Linked DNA regions of Schizosaccharomyces pombe. Changing the gene in region 1 together with any one later gene gives a genetic interaction. Each region holds a gene or a part of one and is shown in the gene's direction. Other genes may lie near its edges. The genes, in order: rga4, rga3, pmk1 and rga6.

The links.
Region 2: of rga4 (region 1) and rga3, changing one enhances a phenotype caused by changing the other (phenotypic enhancement), as found in Schizosaccharomyces pombe (one study listed by BioGRID).
Region 3: mutations in rga4 (region 1) and pmk1 impair growth when combined (synthetic growth defect), as found in Schizosaccharomyces pombe (2 studies listed by BioGRID, with this or other methods).
Region 4: of rga4 (region 1) and rga6, changing one enhances a phenotype caused by changing the other (phenotypic enhancement), as found in Schizosaccharomyces pombe (2 studies listed by BioGRID).

The regions. Positions count from the first base shown.
Region 1 is NC_003423.3:1,837,839-1,843,694, forward strand, and holds rga4 (Rho-type GTPase-activating protein Rga4), read left to right. Parts: upstream 1-1,577; 5' UTR 1,578-1,784; coding exon 1,785-1,871; exon of another isoform or gene 1,872-2,008; coding exon 2,009-2,064; exon of another isoform or gene 2,065-2,206; coding exon 2,207-2,556; exon of another isoform or gene 2,557-2,619; coding exon 2,620-4,928; 3' UTR 4,929-5,349; downstream 5,350-5,856. Other genes in the region: SPOM_SPBC28E12.02 (BICC1 family RNA-binding protein), read left to right, coding at 1-480; protein Cbp7, read left to right, coding at 5,623-5,856. UniProt on the Schizosaccharomyces pombe protein: GTPase-activating protein for Rho-type proteins.
Region 2 is NC_003424.3:5,123,001-5,130,569, reverse strand, and holds rga3 (Rho-type GTPase-activating protein Rga3), read left to right. Parts: upstream 1-1,536; 5' UTR 1,537-1,731; coding exon 1,732-4,641; 3' UTR 4,642-5,337; coding exon of another isoform or gene 5,338-5,790; 3' UTR 5,791-5,956; coding exon of another isoform or gene 5,957-6,178; 3' UTR 6,179-7,242; downstream 7,243-7,569. Other genes in the region: RNA polymerase I upstream activation factor complex subunit Rrn5, read left to right, coding at 1-515; protein mug108, read right to left, coding at 5,338-5,790; SPOM_SPAC29A4.22 (uncharacterized protein), read right to left, coding at 5,957-6,178. UniProt on the Schizosaccharomyces pombe protein: GTPase-activating protein for Rho-type proteins.
Region 3 is NC_003423.3:728,805-733,484, forward strand, and holds pmk1 (MAP kinase Pmk1), read left to right. Parts: upstream 1-2,011; 5' UTR 2,012-2,055; coding exon 2,056-2,121; exon of another isoform or gene 2,122-2,221; coding exon 2,222-2,401; intron 2,402-2,674; coding exon 2,675-2,746; intron 2,747-2,828; coding exon 2,829-3,779; 3' UTR 3,780-4,148; downstream 4,149-4,680. Other genes in the region: serine/threonine protein kinase Vps15, read left to right, coding at 1-1,842. UniProt on the Schizosaccharomyces pombe protein: Regulates cell integrity and functions coordinately with the protein kinase C pathway (pck1 and pck2). Involved the regulation of wall architecture, cell shape, cytokinesis in exponential and stationary phase, and metabolism of ions.
Region 4 is NC_003423.3:579,134-584,393, forward strand, and holds rga6 (Rho-type GTPase-activating protein Rga6), read left to right. Parts: upstream 1-2,011; 5' UTR 2,012-2,113; coding exon 2,114-4,315; 3' UTR 4,316-4,660; downstream 4,661-5,260. Other genes in the region: glyceraldehyde 3-phosphate dehydrogenase Gpd3, read left to right, coding at 1-605; protein Vac8, read right to left, coding at 4,661-4,827, 4,909-5,260.

The DNA.
Region 1 (5,856 bases):
TGGCACCAGATACTGCTTGAAGCCCCAACCAAGGATCAAGATTTCATATCCGGTAAAAAAAATGGAAAACTGGATAAGGTAAAGCAGCAATGCCGTTTCAACTTAAAGAATGGGGACATCTTGTTTTGTCCCCAGTCGACGAGTATATTCACGGTTGATATATATAGTGACGAATTGGAAAGAGTAATTAAAGGAATGAACACAATGTTGCTTGAATTTCCAGCTGAGATGCACTTTTACGTTCCAGAGGAGATTCACAAAAAACTCATTGGATTTCGAGGAGAGCAAATCCAACGTGTAACTAAACTTTATAATAGTTACATTGAATTCTCAACTACTCCTTTTGACTGTTACGGGCACAACGTGCTCATTCGCACACCATCAAAGTTCTCCGAAAATTTGTGGGCCGTCCGATCTTTATTCATTAAGACAGCTGAAGGATTAGGATACGACATCCCGAAGTATTTGTTTGCTAATTGAATTTTAAGTCAGAATCCAGTCATCGACCTGCCCATAGATCACCACACTTTCTCGTTATATTTTTTATGTCCATAACAGACACTCAAGCTGGTTATTAAATTCGGAAACTAAATTTTTTGAAAATCAAAAGTGCTCCACTGTATCAACTTTGATACACATCTTAAGTGCACAATATAATTTAATGAACGTGATCCACGCAGAATTTTGAAGCACATGACAAGTTTAAACTTTAAGCAGTTCAACGATTTGTGCAGGACGGCAACCACTGTTCGTATGCCTTTTTTATTTCTTATTTTGTTAATAAATTGTCATTGAAAACAAAAGATAAAACGTCGATAAACACAGCTAGATTGATATAATAACAACAAACATCTTTTCAGTAAAAAGAAGTAGAAACTGGCACTAACCGTTATTAATCAACTTGCTATACGCTGTGACATCTAACACTCTTTGACCAGTTAATTAGAATCGTATTTGATGAGAAAACGATATTGAGTTAATCCATCCACTTTCTTTGGAATGCATGATGATTAAATTAGTAAATTAAAGAAACAAAAAGGGATTACACAAGAGTTGTTAAACATAAAGACGTCGTTCGACTATAAAAAAAGACGTGTGAACCGTAATGCACCCTTTGCGGTTATTGGGTTTCTTCGGTTTTTTTTATACAAATTATATTACGCTTAACTGAACGAACTAATCAAGTAGCACAGAAACAAGCCACTCTTATTTTTTCTCAAGAGTCGAGCAATACTTCGTTCTCGCTGACAGGATTGCTAATAACACTAACGAAAGATGAACAGGGGGAATGTTGTATAGTTCATTTTTAGTCGTACAATAAATCTCGATAAATTTGTATAAGCAATATCATTTTAAATGTTTCAAAATCTCAAAATAATATGAAGGAAGCAACCATCACTTACACAAAGTATGAAACATAAGGAAACGATATAGAAAGAATCTGGAAAATAAGCAAATATTAATAATAGCTAGATCGAAACCTGGTGGTTTATTCGCTGCAAAGCCATAGCGGTAACAAAAGGAACAAATGCCAGTGTAGCCTTCTATATAAACAAAGGTCCTATTCTTTGACCTCCACCACAAACGGCTACGAGTTTAAAAGAGCTAGCAAATGTTGTAAAGCCTTGGTATTTTTATTTATTTTTTAATCAAGAACAAACTTTGAATAAAACCGTAAAGAGTTTTCTATCTTAGCTGCCGCTCATTTTTTGAGCTGGTGTAATTTACCTATCCATTCTCTTGGGAAACACCTTTCTTTTAATTTTCAGAATATTGATTTCCTTATGAATTCGGGTACGACACTTCATCTGGACAGACTTAGTTTGGAGACGCCATCCGAACGTACTTGTTTTTGTATTAAATGTTGGGAAGTATGTGAGGTTCAAAATTTAATCGCCGTGTCCGGAGAGCGGTCTTTTCACAAAACGAGACCCTGTCTTGAAATTGGACACTGCTCTTTTATTTTTTCCCAGCTGTAATGAACGGCATTTACTAACTTTTGCTCTAGAGTGTTCCCAGTACCTCTCAAGTTTGGTTCGGTGGGAAATGTTGGCATTCCGATTGGTATGATTGAAAATGCAAACGTTGGGATTTTTGGATCTTTTTTTTTTCTTATAGATTGAATAAAAAAATATAAAATGCTCCAAAGATTACCCTTGTTTGTGCTTCTTGTTGTTTTGATTTACTAATTAAGACGGTTTGCTAGTTTTAAATGTGTGAACTGCAACAAAAAATTAGACCCTTCCTCTGAAGATTTTTCTCAAGACGATCAAAAGCAAATATTCTGTAAATTATGTGTTGATATCTGCAACGGTTGCTCAACTCCTATTTGCGAGTTCAACGCAGTAAGCAATAGTCAAGCTAATCATCCTTGTTGCTCCAATTGTCGAGCTTTCATTAATTCAAATGCTTTTGGCAAGTTCAAAGGTCAACATTACTGCCTTCCTTGTTTGCGTAAACAAGATGAAGAGAATCAAAAGGCTGTTATGGAAAGCGCATCAGGGTTTATTCCTCTTAGGAATATCGCACAAACTGCGGAAAACACTTCTTTAACTGGTAAGTTTGTTGCTTATGTAGTATTTATTGATATTGTCTTTATGTTTCTAACTTTAATTTTAGGGCAAAACCAAGGCTTTCAAAACCCGCATTTTATAGCGTCTGATTCTCCATCCTCCGTATTATCTGGTCGAATGCAAAATACCAGCTCTCCTACAAACTCTCTCCGTCCTCAATTAAAAGTTCAAACTAATGGTTATGAAACACCTGGTGATATAAACTCCGCAAAATCTTACAAAGACATCCAAAAGGACTTCTTACTTAAACCCAAAAATTCTTTCGTTAAAACCTCTCCCTCTCCACTAGCTAATGGTCCCTCATTTCGTTCAGCTAATGCCTCTCCATTTGATTCGTGTGACTCTTTTCATTCTGGAAGTTCGATACCAATTGAACCAGTTTCTTCAAGGCAAAGCTCAGTAGTAAATAATAATAGCGTGCAGCAACCTGTTGCTTATCACGCCTTTGTTCAATCACCAACCGAAAATGGTACGCTTCCTCAACTTCCTAAAAATGAAAGCGTTGTTAATCCTCCTCCACTTCGCCGCTCTTCTACTATGAATTACAAATCTGTTTCGACAACAACATCACCATCTAAATATGGATATGTGTCTGGCAGAATAGCTCTATCTCCTATCCATTTAAGGGGTGCTCTTCGTGATGTCACAAATAAATGTAATTTAAAGGTTCCTAGAAATCGAAACAGTTTATCTAATCTTGACGAATATTACGTTAACGGATTGGAAAGCGACGAAACTCCTACAAAGGCTAGATTTCCTAGATATCCTACGGTATTTAATAAGTTAGATGACAAACGACTTAGTAGCGAACCAAACGGCTTGAAGAAAAGATTGACGAACTCTTCAAATTATGAGGCTTCCCCGCGGGCCAAAAGTTTAAATTTGTCGCAAGTTAGTTTGCATCAAGCATGTGAACCTGAATACAATCGAAGTTCTTTGGTTAGAGCAAGTGATGTGTTTACTTCAAACGTATTTGATGCTACAGAGGAAAGCGCAAATGAACTCGCCATTCGTATTTCAGAGCTTCAAGCTGAGGTTGGAACCTTATTGTTGGAAGCGACTTCGTTGGCTTCTATCATAGAGCAGCAGACTCCCGTGTCCCCCGAAGCTTTCAAGCAAGAGTTGGTTGCAGATTTAAATTATAGATTAGATTATTTACGGAAATCTTTTCAACCTGAACTGTCTACCTTACTTTTGAGGCGAGACGCTTTGTCTACGACTGTCTCTAAATTGCAAAACGCTTACAGCACTGTAATGGAAGAAACCGCATATCTGAATGTTAAGAACACAGAACTGGTAAGCCTTAACAATCAATTGGAGAGAGAATTGGCATACTTGAGGGAGCAGCAGCATAAGAAGCGAACTTCTTCCTCTTTCGGAATATTTAATAATGATAAAAAATCCAACCGAACGATTTCAACCCCGTCTCCGCGAGAATCGTTTTCGCGTCTACAAATGGTTGCATCTAGCCTTGGATTTAGACCCAAAGACAATAAAGACAAGGAGAGTGGAGGGTATAACAAACGGAACTCTAAAATAGATCTTAAGAAGTCATTTTCTAAACGGTTTCATTGGAAAAGAGATTCTCCTCACATGTCGAGTACTCCCAGTATTTCTGAAGAACATTTAGCTTCTGAAGAACAAGAGGATTTCGTTCCAGCGGTCGGTCACTGCAAACTTTGCGGTAAATACTCCAATGAGCTTAGAGCACATTATCAGGATTGCGTTAGTTCTACTATAGATCGTCAGTATCAATCTAAAAAAAGCGAATCTCCTGTTTGGGCTTTGAATCCTGACGACTTCGATCAAAACAGGCTAACACTCTTGAGAGTCCCGACGCTTATCGTTTCTTGTATAAATTTTATCGAGTCATACGGCATGGATTTTGAAGGTCTGTATCGCAAATCAGGGGCAACTTCTCAAATGAAAAAAATTGTTGCGTTACTAAGAAATGAAGATACGGTACTTGATCCAAGTGAGGATATTTCTGCTGTCACTTCTGTATTCAAGCAATATCTTCGCAACCTTCCTAATCCAATTATTACCTATGACCAATACTTTCCGTTCATCACAGCAGCAAATTGTGCCTCTTTCCAAGATAAATTAGACGGTTTTATAATGGTCATCAAAAGTCTTCCTCCAGCTCATGCTGAAATTTTGCAGCTCATTATTAGACATTTAGCAAGGGTTGCTGCATATAGTCATGCAAATCGAATGACATCCAAGAACCTTGCAGTAGTATTTTCCCCAACATTAATACGCGACCCCGATAATTCCAGAGACGTTATTGACATGACTGTTAAGAATTACAGTCTTGCGTTTTTGATAGATCATGTACATGAAGTCTTTGCCTAAATTCACACTATCCTTTAATAATTCGCTCTTTTGTTTTGCACGTTCCTTTATATTCTTTATTCGTCTTTTTTTGTTGTTTTAGTAGTTGTACCATAACTTTGGGCAGTTATATCGAGATTCCTTTTTGCATTTGCTAAGATAGTTTCATTTTTGGTCATTTTTAGATGTCATCGTGAAATCAGTGGCAGATGAGTGTTTTATGGATTTGGCGTATAGCTTCTTCATAATGCATTATCACTGCAGACTGACATCCATCGCTTTTATTTAATCATTTCCCTGTTTTAGTCTACTTGGCATTACTCACAATGCTAGGCTATGAATAAAATGCAATTGCATGTATAAAAAAGGAGAAATTTGTATTTTTTTTTAATTTTATTATGCTTTCAAGGATTTAAAGAAGCATTTTTTCCCAAGATCCCTAACTTAGGAAATGCTAGTGCAACGTATTGTGAGTAAGTGATTTTGTAGATATATCATGCCCATTATCTTAATGGAATTCTAAAAAACCAAAAGCAATTCCTATAAACAAAAATTATATACGTTATATGGTAAATTTTTTGAAGGGGGTTAAATAGAGTTTCGAACGTCTAACAAAAAACCAACTCCTGTTTTACTACCACTTTTTTTTGAGAAAAGAGGGTCTTTAAGCAGGATATTTTATTATCTATGTGAACAAAATTACGGAATTTTACTAATGGCAGATGTTATTAAACGATGCATTTTGGGCCCGACTGAAGCCGGCTGGTTCGTCGCAAAGTCTCAAATAAAAAAACCAGTTGACCAAAGACCGGTTATCCTAACCCATTGTAAGCTGCACAGCAAAATGCTAGAGCCAAAGGCGATTGTTTATAAAAAAAATTCATCTGCAATTCCTAAACGAGTTGACAACATTCTTCTTCGAAGTCAAAAGCCCAAACATATAGAATGC
Region 2 (7,569 bases), on another chromosome or scaffold:
AGTATCCTGATAATGCTCAAATGTTCATGGATGAAAGTGTCGCAGAAGAAAGTCTTGTGGAAATTGATGACAGCGTCGAAGCCTACGACATGATTCAATCCAAAAACTACGAAAGCTTTGTTTGGAAATATGTGCTGCATTTAACCGATGAGATGTCGACAGAGGACGCTCTTTTTGAAACTATACCACTTAGTAATTTGCTGGCTCAAAAGCGAATGAAAGACAAGTTAAAAGGTTCCGACGTGTTTACGACTCTTAAAATAACTTCCAAGAGCTTGCACAACATTGACGAACATTCCGATAGTGATGATGAAGTTCAACCTATATGTTATTATTACAAGGATCCAGTTGTTTCCCATGCCCCGGGTGCAGCTGAAGTCGTATCTGAACTTGAAAGCGGATATGTAGGGTTAATATCCTATGATTTGTCTAATCTTCCAAATAGTACAGAAGATCCTGAAAGGAAACTTGCAAAACCTGTCTCTTCTTGGGAGTTGTCACTCCCTTTAAAATAGATGTCTTCATTTTCGAACTACAGTCTTGAAGCCTTTACAAAAACATAAATTGTTTTTTAGCGCTGCCTCTGTGTTGGATAGCAATCCTTTCTTTTTATCGTCATTTTCTGCCAAGTTTGTTTTTTCCTAGAAAGAAAATTTAATACTTCCTCTTTATAGCAATCAGTTATTGCCATTTATAATGATGAGTCCCAGTGTTCACAATATTCTGAAACTTTTTTTGTTAAAAACTGATTGCTTTCTTCCGTATAATTGTCCCAATATTCGCACCACAACTATAAAAATTTTTTTTAGGAGCCTTTACTTCCTTCTTAAAAGCAATAGTTACTTAATCAATTATAGCGACCCCGCTATTTGAGATACACATTTTATAAATTCTACACTTTTTGGAAACGAGCATTTTCTCTTGTCCCTTTATTTGACGATCCGACCGTTCACGCTACAAACGTCTACAAAATTTTTTTCTCTAGAAAGCATCTCTCCTTCTGTTTACTCCTGTTGCTACCGAAATTTTTTCTTTTTTTTTGTCCTCTGTGTTTTTTGATCAGGAATGTATATATCTTTAACCATTTTTTAGCGGGTTTTTTCTAAAGGTAAAGCTATTTAAGCCAGAAAAACAGTTCATTTTCCTTTTTCCTTCTAATTTCGGCAATTTCCCTTTTCACAAATATCACCATTTTTGAGTGGAAAGAAAAGCCTAGAGAGCGGAAACGCTGCCAAACCCATTAAAATTAATTATCTGTAATATTATAATCGTATTTAATAGCTATTCATAACACCCGTTTCGTCTAAACTCCCGTAATAAACCATGTGACTTTTGGCAATTTTACGCACCATATCGTAGAACACGGCGATAATTTCCATAGTGTTTCGCTAGGCTAGGGCAAGGCAAGCCAAAGACCATAGTGCCATGTGTACGACGCATGCAAATTTTAAGGGATTAGAGTGAACGACTCGCTACTGCCGTTCTCACCGCTCCACTGGGCAATGATGCCAACAACTGCAGTAATAATTATTCCTTAGCCATTTACCAATTGTTTCGAACTTCAATCATAAAATTGGGAATATTTTCATTTACTTGATGGGAAGCTGAGGAATGAAAATAGGTACCCAAAGGAATCGTTGTGAAAATAAAAATCAACAAAGCCAAATTCATGACGCTAGATTGAAGTTCATAACGTTTAGCAGGAAATAAGAAGAGCATATATACGATAAGATGATATTTCGAAAAAGTATTTCCAAATCTCCATCAAGCAAGGGAAGCACAGTATGCTTTCGCTGCGGACAGGCATTTCAACGTAGAGAGACACCTATTTCGTTTGGGGGTCATATGTGGCATAAGGATTGCTTCTGCTGTACGAAGTGCGATAAAGGATTGGAGCACAGTGATCAAATGCTGGTGCAAACCTCTGATGGACGACCGGTGTGTAGCTCTTGCGCCCATACCTGTACAGCGTGTCGTATGAGGATCAAGGACTATGCCCTAATGTCAGGCTACGACTCCTATCACAGAGAGTGTTTTCGTTGCCATGATTGCCGAAAGCAAATAATTGACTCTAACTTTAAAAGAGATAATAGGACTATATTTTGTAATGATTGTAAACAAGTCCGTCACCCTTCCAGGTCTTCAGACGAGAGCGCTGATTATCACAATTTTGAGGTTGATGTCACGATTAAGCCCACAGAGACAAAGTCTTCAGTGGAATCTAATAAGTCTTTAAGCATTGAAATTATGTCTCCTCAAAAGCCACCATTATCACCTTTTGGTGGAAGCAGAGACCGCTTAGTTAGCGAAACACCGACTAACATGAGTCAGGCAGAAGGGGGTAATGTGCCGAACGATGGACAGGATAGTAATCTTGCGTCTAATTCTGCAGATTCGCTGCTGCCTAGTGCCAAAAATCGAAGTTTTTCCTCGTTTACGAGTTTTGAATCGCCGATGAAGTATGACGATTCTTTCTTTCCTATTTCACCTTCTATATCTCCGTTACAAAAAGTTAACAAGCAGCAACAAATTGAGTCTCCTACAGCCACATTTCCGTTAAGCAAAAATACTTGGAAGAATCGATTCCATACGTTTCACAAACAATCTTTTACTCCTGTTAACGATAGCTCTTCCTCGGACAGCTTAAAACCCACAATTAATGAGGAAGCCCTGGACGACTTTGCTGGCTCTGCTTCTCCTTATAAAACCATGTCATTGACTGACCGAGCAGAGCCAATTGTCATGAATGGACATATGCGTTCTCTTCACAATGCCACCTCTCCCTTTCGGCCTTTTTCTCCCTCTTACAGGTCGAGTGATACGCATTCACCGAGAACCCGCTCACCGAATGTCCAAACCCATAAAAAAACCTCTTCTCAGCCATCTGACCTTTCATCTTTTGCGCAGCTACTTTCACCGCCTCAGGTTCTTTCTCCCAAACCAAATGGCGGGGGCCATAAAAGTTTTCGGCATTCGCATTCTCTTTCTGAGACTTCTCAGCAAACACTCGTTCCTTCGCTGGGATCTAATGGAGAGTACCATTTACCGACAAACGATCATTCTTCAACTCCAGCACAATCAGAGCGAGATTCGGATGTTGAAGAATTGCGTGAACAGTTGGAAAATCTTACTGCTCTTACCAAAAAATTGTCCGAAAGGCTCTCAAGTTCTACGTTTGACAACTCTAAGTTTATTCGTACGGAAGATAAGGATACTGTTCGTTCGGCTAAACTTGAAATTTGTGAAAAGTTTTTTTCGTTTGCTGATGTGACAGATGATCCCACGCTGAAAGATCCGAAACATCAGGATTTGGTGGCTGCCGCCAATGCTTACATGGCAATGCTTCGTGAGAGTTACGGCACTGAAATAAACAATCTTTTGGAAAGGAGAAATGAGCTGCTTGACGATTACAATAATGTACAAAAAATTTTAAATGAATCGCTTGAAGCATCTGTACACCTAAATACCAAAAATCTCGAGTTGGCCGACTTAAACAACAATTTGGTAAAACAAATTCAGCATAGAGTACCTCCTGAAAACCAATCCAATTTGGAGCATACTATTACCACATCTTCCAAAAATACAACCAGCAGTATTAATCCACTTACTGCCGTGAGTAGCAACTCTGGGCAGTCATCAGGTCGACCTGGTCCGTTGTCACCAAATTTGAATGTGACTACGAGAATTGACATTAAGGGAAAAAAGGGAAGTATGCATTTGCAACCAAGAGATGTAAACCGTAAAGTCCCGTTCAAATCAATGCATACTAAATCAAAGTCTGCCGATCCTGTAGTAGGAAATGAAGATCGTACTCAATGTGACCATGTGTTTCATGTTAATGCCATATTCAAGCCCTCAAGGTGTTATATATGCTCGGAGAGCGTATGGGGATCTGAACTCCGCTGCTTTCATTGCTCAATTTCATGCCATTCGCGGTGTTTAAAAAGGCTGTTTGCAGAGTCGGAGCATGAGAAAACAATGAGTGAAACTGTAAGTGAAAATAGTAAATGGATGCCGGAAATGCCAACGAGGATGCCTCCTCCTGGGCCTTCACCAACGATGTTTGGACGATCGTTAGAAAATCAATTGAAAATTGAAGGGTCGGTTTTGCCTCAAGTAATTGCTATGTGCGTTTCTTGCGTGGATGCGCATGGATTGGAGGTTGAAGGTATTTATAGGATATCTGGCAGTGCTTCTCAGGTCCGAGTGTTAGTCGACGAATTTGAAAACGGGTCTATCCGAATGGAGCATTTGACTTCTGACTTGTTTGCCTGTACGTCGGTTTTGAAAACATATTTGCATCGCTTACCGGAACCAGTTATACCTGGCACTCAATACGAGGAGTTGTTGGAAGCGGAAAAAATCGAAAAGGAAGAGGAAAAAATTGAACGGGTAGTGGAAGTAATGAAAACGCTTCATCCTGCACATTTGAGCGTATTTCGATTTTTGATTGCACATTTGGGTCGTGTATGCAAGCACGCGGAGAAAAATTTGATGAACTCGAAAAATGTCTCTACAGTATTTGCACCTACTTTAATGCGAGATAAGGTGAATCGGTTTGATTTACAGCATGCTACCAAAAAGAGTACGGCTCTTCAGTTTATGCTTGATAACGTGGATAAGATTCTTCATAATCTGTAGCTTGTTTTATGAATAATGATTAAAATATCGGGGAACTTGTATTTTTCTAGGGAAGAAGGAACTTTACGATAATAATAACCACTTGTGTTCCAAACTTCAATAAGGAATACTTTTCGAAGAAATAATGAGACTTTTTTTACACCTCTTTTTTTTAATGAAAAAAGGAAAACAAAGATATTAGCATAACACTCTTACATTTACGACTGAACTATTCAAACTGGGTAATACAGGATGTACATTATGACAAGCAGGCAAGCACACGCACGCTCATCAGATACAAATAAATACGCACGCAAATGGAGATTGTATAAAGATATTTGCCATTAAGCATTGCGAGATGCAAAATAAGGAAAATATAATGCTAATTTGATAAAAAAAAAAGAAAACAAACTCTTTTTAACGATACTAAACAGAACTCAACTCGATTTGGTTCGAGTATTTCGTTTCTCATAACTTGAACATAAACACAACATAAACAACTCATCAAAGACACATACATACACAAACACTACGGTCGTGCCATCATGTCTCGAAATCTCAAAGAATGGTATGGGGAACATGGTGAGGGATGAATGGCAGTGAACGTGAAAGGGGATGGATGGCATAATTAAATGTAATCTGCAACATTGTCAGTCAGGGTATGACTAATCAAAAAATAAAAATTACAAGGGAGTAAGAAAAAAAAAACAAAAGCAATCAAATAGTACTACCTAAAAGGCTTATATCCCTATCAAGATAAGGATCGTTTTGCTCTTCCTCATCAAGTTGTTCCTCGTTATTGTTTGCATTTTTCTTTTGTGTTCCATTAGCGCTCTTGGAGCGTGATTTCTTTCCTCCAAAGATGCTGCCAAGACCGCCAAGAGACGAGAAATTAACACGGCCAGTATGTTGACTGGAACGGTTGCGAGTAGACTCGGACCTGGAGTCATCGTCGCCGATATCTTCCTGAGTGGCATGGTAGCTGGAGCTCTCCATGTCATCCTCCTCTTCCTGGACCAAAGGTCCGGCCTCTGGATATTCATTCATGTATTCGTTGAATGAATGAACGCCCATCGAAGGATGGCGTTGTCTACCGGAGAAGGAGTGTTTGTCAACATGATGACCATGGGTTTCTTGAGTTTGATCACTAGAAGTAAAACGATTTGCCATTGCGGTGGATTTGAAGAAATTCGATTAGTCAATTAGTATTGGATGAAATTCAATTTCAAATTGATTTGGATTTGGATTGGATTGGACTGTCAATAACAATTTTCAACTCAATTGGTTATTGTTTGTTTTGTTATTGTTGTTGTTAGATTGTCAGTGGGTGGGTAATTTAGCTTGACTCGCTGATGATCAATAAGGGTGGATATGAATACGATTCGGTATTTGTTATTACGAAGGATGAAATATATATGTACTGTATTTTGGGAATGGAATTTTCACTCTTAGTGCCCAACCTTCTATTTATCTCCTTGCTGTGGCCAAATGTCATACGTATTGGGTTGCTACATTGAATGTAAGTGTGCCTTACTCGTCCTTTCACCCGCAACTCCATTGTTATCCAGCATCGTCATCCACTGCAATCGTGGCGCCAACCTCTTCACTTCCACCACCCATATAGCATATTTCCGTGAGTGTGTACCTCGGCGAGATCCGTTAAGTGGGTTTACGAAACAGGCCAAGAGGAGGAGGAGGGTTTGGTGATAATGCAATGGAGCACACAAGTAAGCAGGACGAAGTATGATTGATGGATGGATGAAGGAAAAGAAGAGAAAATGGCAGGTTGGTTTAGAAGAGGCTGTTCATCCCGTGGTATCGCAGTCTCAAGTATGGCACGGAAAACAAGCGTCGTTTTAATTGTCCAGGAGAAAAACAAAAAGGAAACAAGACTTTAGAGGGTCAGTCTTTTTTTTATGTCTTTTCTATTTTTGCTTTATGTTGTTGTTTTATATTCTTTCTTTCTTTTTTCTGCCTTCTTGACAATTAATTGATTTCCGCGGCAAGCTTAGTCAGTCTATAATACGGTGTTGTGCATCAGAGATGTTATGGCATTGCGTCATGATCGACACCCTTCCTAATCCCTTTTTTCTCCGCCTTCGCTTCCCCACACTTGGAGTCACAAGGCTGAGTCGATGCTACCTGAAAAGATGGGGTAATGGCATGACGAAAAAGACTGCAGGAAGAGAGGGGTGGGTGAAAGAAAGGGATTCAAACGAGACATCAATAATGGATGGAAGAAATAAAAACATAAAAGAAAAAAGAAAAAAAAAAGAAAGAAAAAGTTAAAGAAGATGAAAATTTTTGTTTGTTTGTCTCAGAACTAAAGTTTTTTTTGCTCAATTTTCTGTTCAATTTCTTTGATTCGCATTTTGTTTTGTTCCACTTTTTCTTTTTTTTTTGTCTTTGTTCCACCATTGGTTTTCTTTATCCATCTCTGTCCATTGTTGGTAATCTTGCTTTATGATTATAGGAGTCCTTTGTTTTCTCTCTCTCTTTTTTTTTTTATTTCTTTGTATGAATTGCCTTTTTTTTGACTAGCGTTCTTTGTCATACATGTCATCTTGAAATAGATGGTTTTGATTGTTTCTTGTTTTCAATAACTTTTTTTTTTTTTTTTCTGCTCTCTTTCTCTTTTCATTTTTTTTTTGGTCAGCGTGAGATACTGGCTTTCATTGAGCTACAATAAATAGTTTTGACTTTTTATTTCTATTTCTATTTCTTCTTTATTTTCCTGCTGTCTTTCTCTTCTCGCATACACAAAAGAGACTCAAACATACACACACACATACTCGGAGAGTTTCTCTCTCTCTCTCTCTCTTTTTTTTAGAGTTTCCTTTTTGCTCACTTGTTTTTCTTTGATCGTCGTTCTTTACGACATCTTTGTATTATAACGAAAATAACCTTTATTTGGACTTTCTTTTTATTCACTGTGGATGAGCTCACTGT
Region 3 (4,680 bases), 1.1 Mb from region 1:
GCACCGTTGATCTCTTCTAGGGTTTCAACGAATGATACAACTAATGTTGCCGGTATTCGAAGCCAAAGATCATTTACTACTCATATCGATTTGAAAAAGCTTACCACGAGGCAAAATGGCGCAAAAAAATCATCGTATACTGGAACTAATCCATGCGTCTTAAATTATTTAAATAAAATTTATGCAGAAGCAGCGGCTTCGACACTTAACGTTGGTGCTGCTGTTTCACCAAGCTGGGCTTCTAATATACCTTTGCGTCGTAGAACAAAGGTGTCTGCGAAGGCTGCGAATAAAATAGTTCAGACTCATGAATGGCATCCAGAAGGATCACGAGTTGCTCAGATATATTTAGGAAGCCTTCTTGATGGAGGTACGAAGAAAGTTTTGGTTAGTCCAGATTCATCTTTTTTCGTTACCTTGGGATCTGACGGTGTTGTAAGAGCATGGCAATTAGTTGAAAGTGTTCGTCATATTTCAACTATGAGATGTGAATGCCGATTAAGTTATGGGCATACGCGACGTAATGGCGAGAGGAATAGATTTTCTGTGGTCAATGGATGCTTTCTAGGTAATACATACGCTTTTGCTTCTGTTACTCAAGATGGCTCTGTGGAAGTTCACAGACTTGACGTTAACAATCAGCGGCATACTCTAATTTCGGCTGGTCGTATTCCCAATTTGGATTTCAGTGATTCTGTAACCTCCATGGAAGCTTCTACATTTCACGACGGGAGTATCCGTCTAGTCGTTGTTACAAAATGGTCACGCATCGTATACTTAGACGTGGGAATGATGAGGGTTTTGTCATCAGACCAATTACCATTACAGTGTGGGTCAGCTACTAGTGTAGTAGTTTCTGAGGGTTGTAATTGGGCTTTAATTGGGACTACCAAAGGATGGCTCTTACTTTGGGACCTCCGCTTTGGGACATTATCATGCTCTTGGCATATGCCAGCCAGGATTGATCAGATGCATCTTCTTTTAGATGTTACCAAAAAACGTAGCAACGTTAATGAGTATACTTCCGGAAATAACAATAGTCCCGTTACCAAGGTTCCAGGTAGCTCAAGTACAAGTTCAAGTAGTACTCAGCCAATTAACTCTACTATTCCCATCAATCCTTTAGAAAATCACGGAATGTTAAACTCGTTTGGAAGCACTACAGTCAGTATCAGTTTTAGCGTCCTTACCAACTTGGATAATAAAGAAGTTAATCTTGAAGATGCAGTTCCAGCGAGTCACAGATCCGCTTCAGGCATAGTAAATTTTGACGTTGAAAAAGGGAAAACCGAAGAGGTTTTCTTAGAAAACTGGAATTCTTCACTCACCAGTCCGATTCCGGTATCTGTTGGAATTGATGCTTTTAATGAAAAAAAAAAGTTTGATATAGATTCTGGCAATGACATGGGATTAAGAGATTTGAATACCAAATTCGACTCTCCTTGGCCTTGTATATCTAGTCCAATCTATAGGTACAGAGGTCCGTCTGCAGGTTCTGTCGAACGAGAGCCACTTTTTCTCATTGCCGCTTCTGGAAGCCCTCATGCGTTTATTTGGAATCCCCACAATGTCTCTGCTAGTTCGTCGGTGACCAACGACTCCGAGAGTTCAAAACTATCTTTAATACATAACAAACCTCCTATCTACCAAAAAGTCTCTGAACAACAGAATGTACGCCCAAAGTCTTCGGGAGTGTCAAGGCCTCTTCTATTCCTTCAACAGCAAAAGAATCTACCTAGCGAAAATCGTCTGCACCCCATCGTTGACATGGCCTTCTTGTACCAACCGTACGCTATAGTGCTTATTGTTGACGCTTTTGGTAGTCTTGAACTCTGGACCTAGTTTCTTTTAGTATTCCTCATATATTTATTAGATTTGTATGCATATTCTTTAATACCATAAATTCCATCTGATAGTCTTCAAATCTAACCGACTTGCATTCAAATAGTGAAATATAAGGCATCGTTAATCACTACAAGTGATGTACTGTAGTTTTTTCCACATCCCTTTTGCCAAACAGCTAAAAATTCAAGTTGCATGCTATAAGTCGCAAGGATGGACCGTCGACATCGTGTTTACCGTGTGTTTAACCAGGAGATGTATGTCGAGCCTAATTTTAAGGTATGAGATATTTGGGTAACTGCTGCATTTGCAAAACATTTTGTTTACTTGACAGAAAATCGCATCTGCTTGAACTTTTAGGAAAACTAACATAGTTTAGGTAGTGAAGGAGTTGGGTCAAGGCGCTTACGGCATTGTTTGTGCAGCAAGAAACGTGGCTAGCAAAGATCAAGAGGCTGTAGCCATAAAAAAAATTACGAATGTGTTTTCTAAATCCATTCTTACAAAAAGAGCTTTGAGAGAGATAAAACTGCTGATTCATTTTCGTAATCATCGTAACGTAAGTCTTTTATGCAAAAACGGCTTCCTGTGATTGATTACTCATCATCACCGGGATGTATTAACGAGGTGCATTTTGATGAAAATGCAAATTTTTATACAATGAAAAGTCTTCTATGAGAAATGAGTTCTAATCATCCTTGAAAAGTATTTCCTTTATAAATCTTGATATAATGTTTGGAATTCGGTTGATTAAAAAATTTGAACTGCTCATTGTCTTACATTTGCATAGTGATGTCTTTCCTATTTTTTATAAACTTTACTAACATGGTAGATTACTTGCATTTACGATCTCGACATTATAAATCCATACAATTTTAATGAAGTTTACATTTACGAAGAGTTGGTATGTTACGCGATGATCCACATATGGTGTCTGTTTTAGTCACGGAAATATTTGTATAATTACTTACTAACTATTATAATAGATGGAGGCCGATTTGAATGCTATTATTAAATCCGGTCAGCCATTAACGGATGCGCATTTTCAATCATTCATTTACCAGATACTTTGTGGTTTAAAGTATATTCATTCTGCCAACGTTATTCATCGTGACTTAAAGCCAGGTAATCTTTTAGTTAACGCTGATTGTGAGCTGAAAATTTGCGATTTTGGCCTCGCTCGCGGATGTTCTGAAAATCCAGAAGAAAATCCTGGTTTTATGACGGAGTATGTGGCAACGCGCTGGTACAGAGCTCCGGAAATTATGCTTTCGTTCAGCAGCTATCATAAAGGTATTGATGTTTGGAGTGTTGGTTGCATTTTGGCAGAGCTATTAGGTGGAACCCCTTTGTTTAAGGGAAAAGATTTTGTTCATCAGTTAAATTTAATTTTGCATCAACTTGGCACACCTGATGAGGAAACCCTGTCTCATATAAGCAGTTCCCGTGCACAGGAGTATGTTCGAAGCTTGCCAAAGCAAAGACCTATTCCTTTTGAAACCAATTTTCCTAAAGCCAATCCTTTGGCTCTTGACCTGCTTGCTAAGCTCTTGGCTTTCGACCCCAACAGACGTATTTCGGTTGACGATGCTTTAGAACATCCCTATTTAGCTGTTTGGCATGATCCCTCTGACGAACCTGTGTGTGATTCCGTCTTTGATTTCAGCTTTGAATACATTGAGGATGCAAATGAGTTACGCCGTGTCATTTTAGATGAAGTTTTAAACTTCCGTCAGAAAGTCCGACGCCGCTCTCATCCAACAAACCCAACAGTCAACATCCCGCAACCAGCCCAAACCGTTCCATCTAATGACAATGGTTCTTTCAATGTTAGTAGCTCTTCATCCTCTCAAACCTCTAACAAAAAGCGCCATGATCATTCTTATAATGAAACTGCTGCTATAGACCATAAGTCTGATGATAATCGCCATAACTAATACATTGGCAGCAGCTGGTTTTATTGAGCCTTTTTACGGTAACATTTGCATACAAATCATTCATTGCGTTTTCTCATTTTTACATAAATTAGCTATTGCTATCTTTTGAGCTTTGCTGGCTACTGTCGAATCTCTGTTTGCTCGTTTAATTTCCATAAAAAATACTCATTTGCATTAGTCCTTCATTTACTGTTTTGCATATAATATTTGGCGATCTTTGTGCTCCCTTTTCTTGCACGCTTTATAGTCTCACAGCTTGAAACATTTTGTTATACATACATGCATGCATATACACCCGTACTACAACTAGAAAAATATATAAATAGAACAGCTAATTACTTAAAAATATTACTTTTACTAGTGAACGAGTATATCTGTGGTAGAGTAATTTCCTTTATTAGGGAACATCCCAATGAAATCACAAAACTAACTAACCAAGACAAAATAGATGAATAAATACATCAGTCATGAATTTGTATCCTGCAACAATTAAACAACATTCGTGCACAAGGATAGCTCTCTTCAAGTAGAAGCGTCTTATAATGAAATGCAAAGCGGTCGAATATGAAATTATGTGCATATTTTTATAAATCAGAAAAAATATGTAAGATGATATTCGAGACGCGAATGAAGTTTTACAATAGAAAGGGAAAGCCTTTACAAATACCTGCAAAAAAGGTCGTACAGATTCCGTTGTTTTTTGGGAAAGCAAATCATGATGCGCAAATCCTATATAAAAGGAACAGTTTTTTTTAGGAGAAAATTTTGGCAATTGCCGCTATGGCATCCATTACTAGCAATGAAATAAAGCAGAAGGCGGGCGACCTTGATTCCAGTAAAGGCTAACGGGAAAAATAAAAGGGAAAAACGACGTCACAAATAAGTGAACAAAAAGTCATTA
Region 4 (5,260 bases), 1.3 Mb from region 1:
TTAACTTGGAGAAGTTCAACCCCTCCGAGAAGGTTATCTCCAACGCCTCTTGCACCACCAACTGTTTGGCTCCCCTTGCCAAGGTCATCAACGACACCTTCGGTATTGAAGAGGGTCTCATGACCACTGTTCACGCTACCACTGCCACCCAAAAGACCGTTGACGGTCCCTCTAAGAAGGACTGGCGTGGTGGTCGTGGCGCCAGCGCCAACATCATCCCCTCCTCCACTGGTGCCGCCAAGGCCGTCGGTAAGGTTATTCCCGCTCTTAACGGTAAGCTTACCGGTATGGCTTTCCGTGTCCCTACCCCCGATGTTTCCGTTGTTGACTTGACCGTCAAGTTGGCCAAGCCTACCAACTACGAGGACATCAAGGCTGCTATCAAGGCTGCCTCTGAGGGTCCCATGAAGGGTGTGTTGGGTTACACCGAGGACTCTGTTGTCTCCACCGACTTCTGTGGTGACAACCACTCCTCCATCTTCGATGCCTCTGCCGGTATCCAACTTTCTCCTCAATTCGTCAAGCTCGTCTCTTGGTACGATAACGAATGGGGTTACTCCCACCGTGTTGTTGACTTGGTTGCCTACACTGCTTCCAAGGATTAGATTGCTTCTTTCGATTTATTCCGTCGTCAATCTATATCTCTCTAATCAGCCGTTGTTAAACTCCAAGCTATTCAACTGAACATGCGTTCGGTTTTGGGGGGTCTTACATATGTGCGAACTTTTGGTTTTTTATTCTTATGCTTGTTTTCCCCCTTTTCCTTTTCTGGGGTTTGCTACGATAATGATAGACATGTATGAGATTTTCCTCTTTTATTCCACGTTATCATTTTGATTGCGCTCCTAGGGCGATCTCTATAGCTGACGACCTTTCTACGAAATAGATTAAGATATAATTTTAAATGAATTGTTTTTTCTTCACTTGTTTTTAATGTGTAAAAAATCCGTAAAGTATGTGGTGTATGAAAATTTTGATTTGAAATGTGGTAGTTTATTGGAGGTAAAAAAGGTAGACTGATTTATAAAGCATTATATAGTTATCATAGTTGCTTGTTAGCATTCTATTACCGTTTGCATTTGAGATAATTGTTTTCGTCTTGATGATAGATATTCGCTAAGATGTTTCCATAAACTTGGCCCACGCTTTTTTGGGTGAAGTAAATAATTTTTCAGTCCTTTTGAGGGCCTCTGCTGCCTATCTTTACTGCCCCTATTTGCAAGTTTCTAGAATGGAAGTGTAAGTCAAACGATAAGAAAAATTATATATTAATAGATAGCAATTTAAATTTAGCATTTTCATTCTTAGTGTTCGTTCACTCCACTTTCCAGATCAATCTCAGACCATCAAGTATGATGATGAAAGCGAGTGTTCCATTTAGGCGGTTCTCGCAACTCTTAATGTTTGATACTTAGAGCTGTTTGTGCTTCAGAAAATTATTCAAAAAATTTCATGCTTGCATTTGATTCTTTTCTGGATAACAGCTAATCCTGTTTTTTGTATTTTGTCCTTTGGTTTTTTGATACCGCATTGCTAGTCACATGTACCCTCATAAAAAATACAGTTATATCTAAGCGAGAAACAATCGCTCGATTGCGAGGCTCATCTATGGAACTGTTTATACTTGTGTCTCATGTTCCAATAGCTTGAAAGTGTGTTTAAGCATGAGATTGTTATTTAAATTATCAATTCATATAGTAACAATATCTGCTTTGGTGCCAAACATTTGAATTCCTTACGAACTAATAATAAGATTGCTTCTCAGATTTCTCAGTGGAATACTTCCATTAGTAACTGCACCATGGGAGTTTGAAAGCTGCTGTCTTTCCTTAAATTACAATAGTCCGTGTAGAAGATGAGTTTTTGGTTCGTTCAATATGTGACTACTTGTTCACCTATCTTTCGCTTCGGCTCGTACTCTACTTTTCAACGCCTGCTACTTGGCTGAACCTCTTAGTAAGTAACGGATGTAGAACGGTTCTTACCAAAGCCAACGTCTCTCTAATCGACATTTATTTCAAAATTCTATCAGTGGAGAGTATATATTGAGGTTTATAGCTTTTACGGGCCTCGAAAACCTCGTGTAGTAAAATTTGAAATTGTTGGGAGAAGTATGACCTTAAATCCTTCGACTCTCAACAATGGAACTCTTGGGGACCTGAAAGAGCACAAGGATGTCGTCTTGTCTAGCAATGCGCAGACCGATGAGAAACGTTTCGAAGAACCGTCGCTAGAGGTGGGAGGATCGTTAGCGAAAGTGGAAAATGGCCTTTCCACATCAATTTCATCATCTGCAAGCAATTTGGAGGGACAGCAAGCTCCTTTCTTTACTAAGCAAAATTCGTGCTTGTCACGCTTTCGTGAGCTAGCTCAGACTTACAACATACACGAAATTAATCTCGAGGAGTACGTTTCCCAGATAAAAGAGGTTAAACAATCTCTGTACTCCGACGATAGCGTATTTAATGAATCCAAAAGTTCTTCACCTCCAGATGCTCATACTGATAAATATTTCACTCCATGTGGATCCCCTACTAAGCTGATACACTCGACACTATTGGAAGAGAGAGATACTCCGTCCTCCCTAGAACATGTTAGCTTTTACCTTCAAGAAAGCGCAGTATCAGAAGTTCGGTTTGATAAACCTTCAAACAATGGTCCTCTAGGGAGGTCATCCCTAAATCTAAGCTCCCTTTCACACGAGTTACAAACTTCACAAGATTCTCCCTCCTTGTCGGCTACGAATCAACTATCCTCATCAGATACGTTGGAACCTCTCCAATACCCACCATCTTCATTTGGCTCTCAAAGACAGTTCAATGCCTCTCAAGATTCTCCAAAGCGAAGCCCTTCCAAGGGATCTTGGTCCTCTATCCTCCGCCGCCCCTCTCTTACTTACTCTCCAAAACGTCAGTCCACTGGCTTGCATCGTCGTTCTTTAACGAATTATTTTAAATTTCCTCATCGTAATGCACATCAACATAATGCAATTGCTCATAATCCTTCCGTATTTGGTAAACCTATCGGCGATTTAACGTCAGATCCCACAAATCTTTGCAAATTTACATTTCCCACTCCTGAATGTGCACCTCCTTCTTTGTTGCTCCCACATATTTTTGCTCAATGCGTACATTTTCTATCTTTAAATGCTTTGCATGTACCGGGAATTTTCCGCATTAGTGGTTCTGGTCCCGTAATAAAAGCAATCACAGAATACTTTTATTCTCCACCTCATTTTTGGCTTGATGAAACATCAGAAATTTTTAAGCGTATTGGATTTCCAAGTTATATCGATATAGCAGCTGTCTTAAAACGGTACATTATGTTATTGCCAGGTGGCCTTTTTACGCATAAAGATATATTGAATCTTTTAGTACCATTATACGTTGATTCAAGTAGAGTAAAGGTTCCTATAGACATCCGGAATGAAATGGCCGCTCTTTGCTTTTCACAAATAGATTCTTACGTGCGCTTTTCTATCCTTTGCTCTCTACTAGCATTATTGCATCAAATAGCTACACGGACTCAAGAGTTGGAAAATGGAATGGAAAATACCAAAGACTCTACTTTGATGAAGCCGGAAGCCCTTGGTATTATTTTTGGTCCTTTATTGTTGGGTAACTCTTCTACTGATCTTTCGAAATCTTGTCCTTCTGGAAATGTGAATGACCTTATGAGATTTGAAACCGAAAAGGCTAGAGTTGAAGCCAAGATTGTAGAGGGACTGATTATTCACTGGCCAGAGGTACTACTTAAAATCAATTCTCTCGACATACCCAATTGTTTTTCTGATGTTGGGTTAACTGACCAAGTTGCTATTTTTACTCCTGCAGTCCCGAAAGAAGATTCTCCAGAACAGATACCTGAAAATGTGAATGCATCTGAGGAAAGTTATCCTAATGTTAAGCATATCTCGAAGCTTCCTTTAATCAATGACTCTTCCGATAATGAATCGGGTAACCAAGAAAATGATGATGCTGTAGCAAATGAGAGTACCAAAGTCGTTGTTGACAATCAACAGCCCCAGCCTAAGATTTCCACCGTTTCTGATACTGCTGTTCCTTCCATGAGTTTTGCTAATAACATTTCATCGCGGTCGGTTATTTCAGCTGCTACAGATAGTAAACCGTCAACTCGCACATCACCGCCATTCGTGAACAATACAAAACCGATCGTCGCAAAGTCACCGGTCACTGTTACTGCTTCTTCGGAAACCAATAAAAAATCGCAGAAGATTAATAAAAAGGCATCTCCAAGGGTCAGTTTGTGGACAAAACTGTTTGGTAAATTCCGATCAAACAAGAAGAAATCTTAAGAAAGGATTTCTGTTTTCGGTGTCATTTATTTATCATATATTACAACCATTTGTTTGCTCTTAAAGTTTAGGTTCATTTTGATATTTTTTGGTTTCATAGTAGTATTTATTAAGATATGCATGTTAGTTTTTCCATGTCACATGTTTTATTCAGGTGTTGAAGGGATAAGTTTATTATTTGGAATCAACTACGGACGAACTTTTATCATCTTCTAAAAAACTAATCATTAATAAAATGTGATTCATGTCATTAAGTCAAATAGACTTCCGAACTGGCAAACGGGGTTGAGACGGTAAAAATATAAAGAGATGAAGGGTAATATAATGTGCCAATAAAAATAAAAATTAAGAATCTGTGTCCTGTTCAATTAAATGCAATGCCCGGCCAGATAATAATATAACATCGCCTTCACCATCTTCATACTCTCCATTATTAGCATCTCTAGCAACTATGTCATTAAGTAATTCGATGATATCGTCGCTAGATTGTATAAATGCAGTTAAACGTGGAACTATAATGAGTTAGCTAAAGAATATATTCCGTATATCGTGTGTAGACAAAATCGTCAATAAATTCTCTAAAAAAAACTTACCACCAGCCTCTAGTAATTGTACAATGGTCCAAGCAGCAATATGGGCAAAAGTAGAATCTTCACTACTTAAAAACCTGACCAGATAACCATGAATGCCACCAGCTGGAGAATCCCAACACTCTATGAACCGGCTATAATCATCGACATTAGAAGAAAGATTACCCAGAGCAGCCGCAGAGTTGCCTTGGACTTCAATCGACATAGAGTCTGTCAATGGGATTAAAACATTACAAATACCAAAGTTAAGAAGATACGACTTGAATTCGTCACTTAAAGCAAGAACGGCTAGACAGGCAGTCATTTCACTTTGCACGCTAACAGGAGCATCTAAAATTAAACAGCGAAGTTTTTG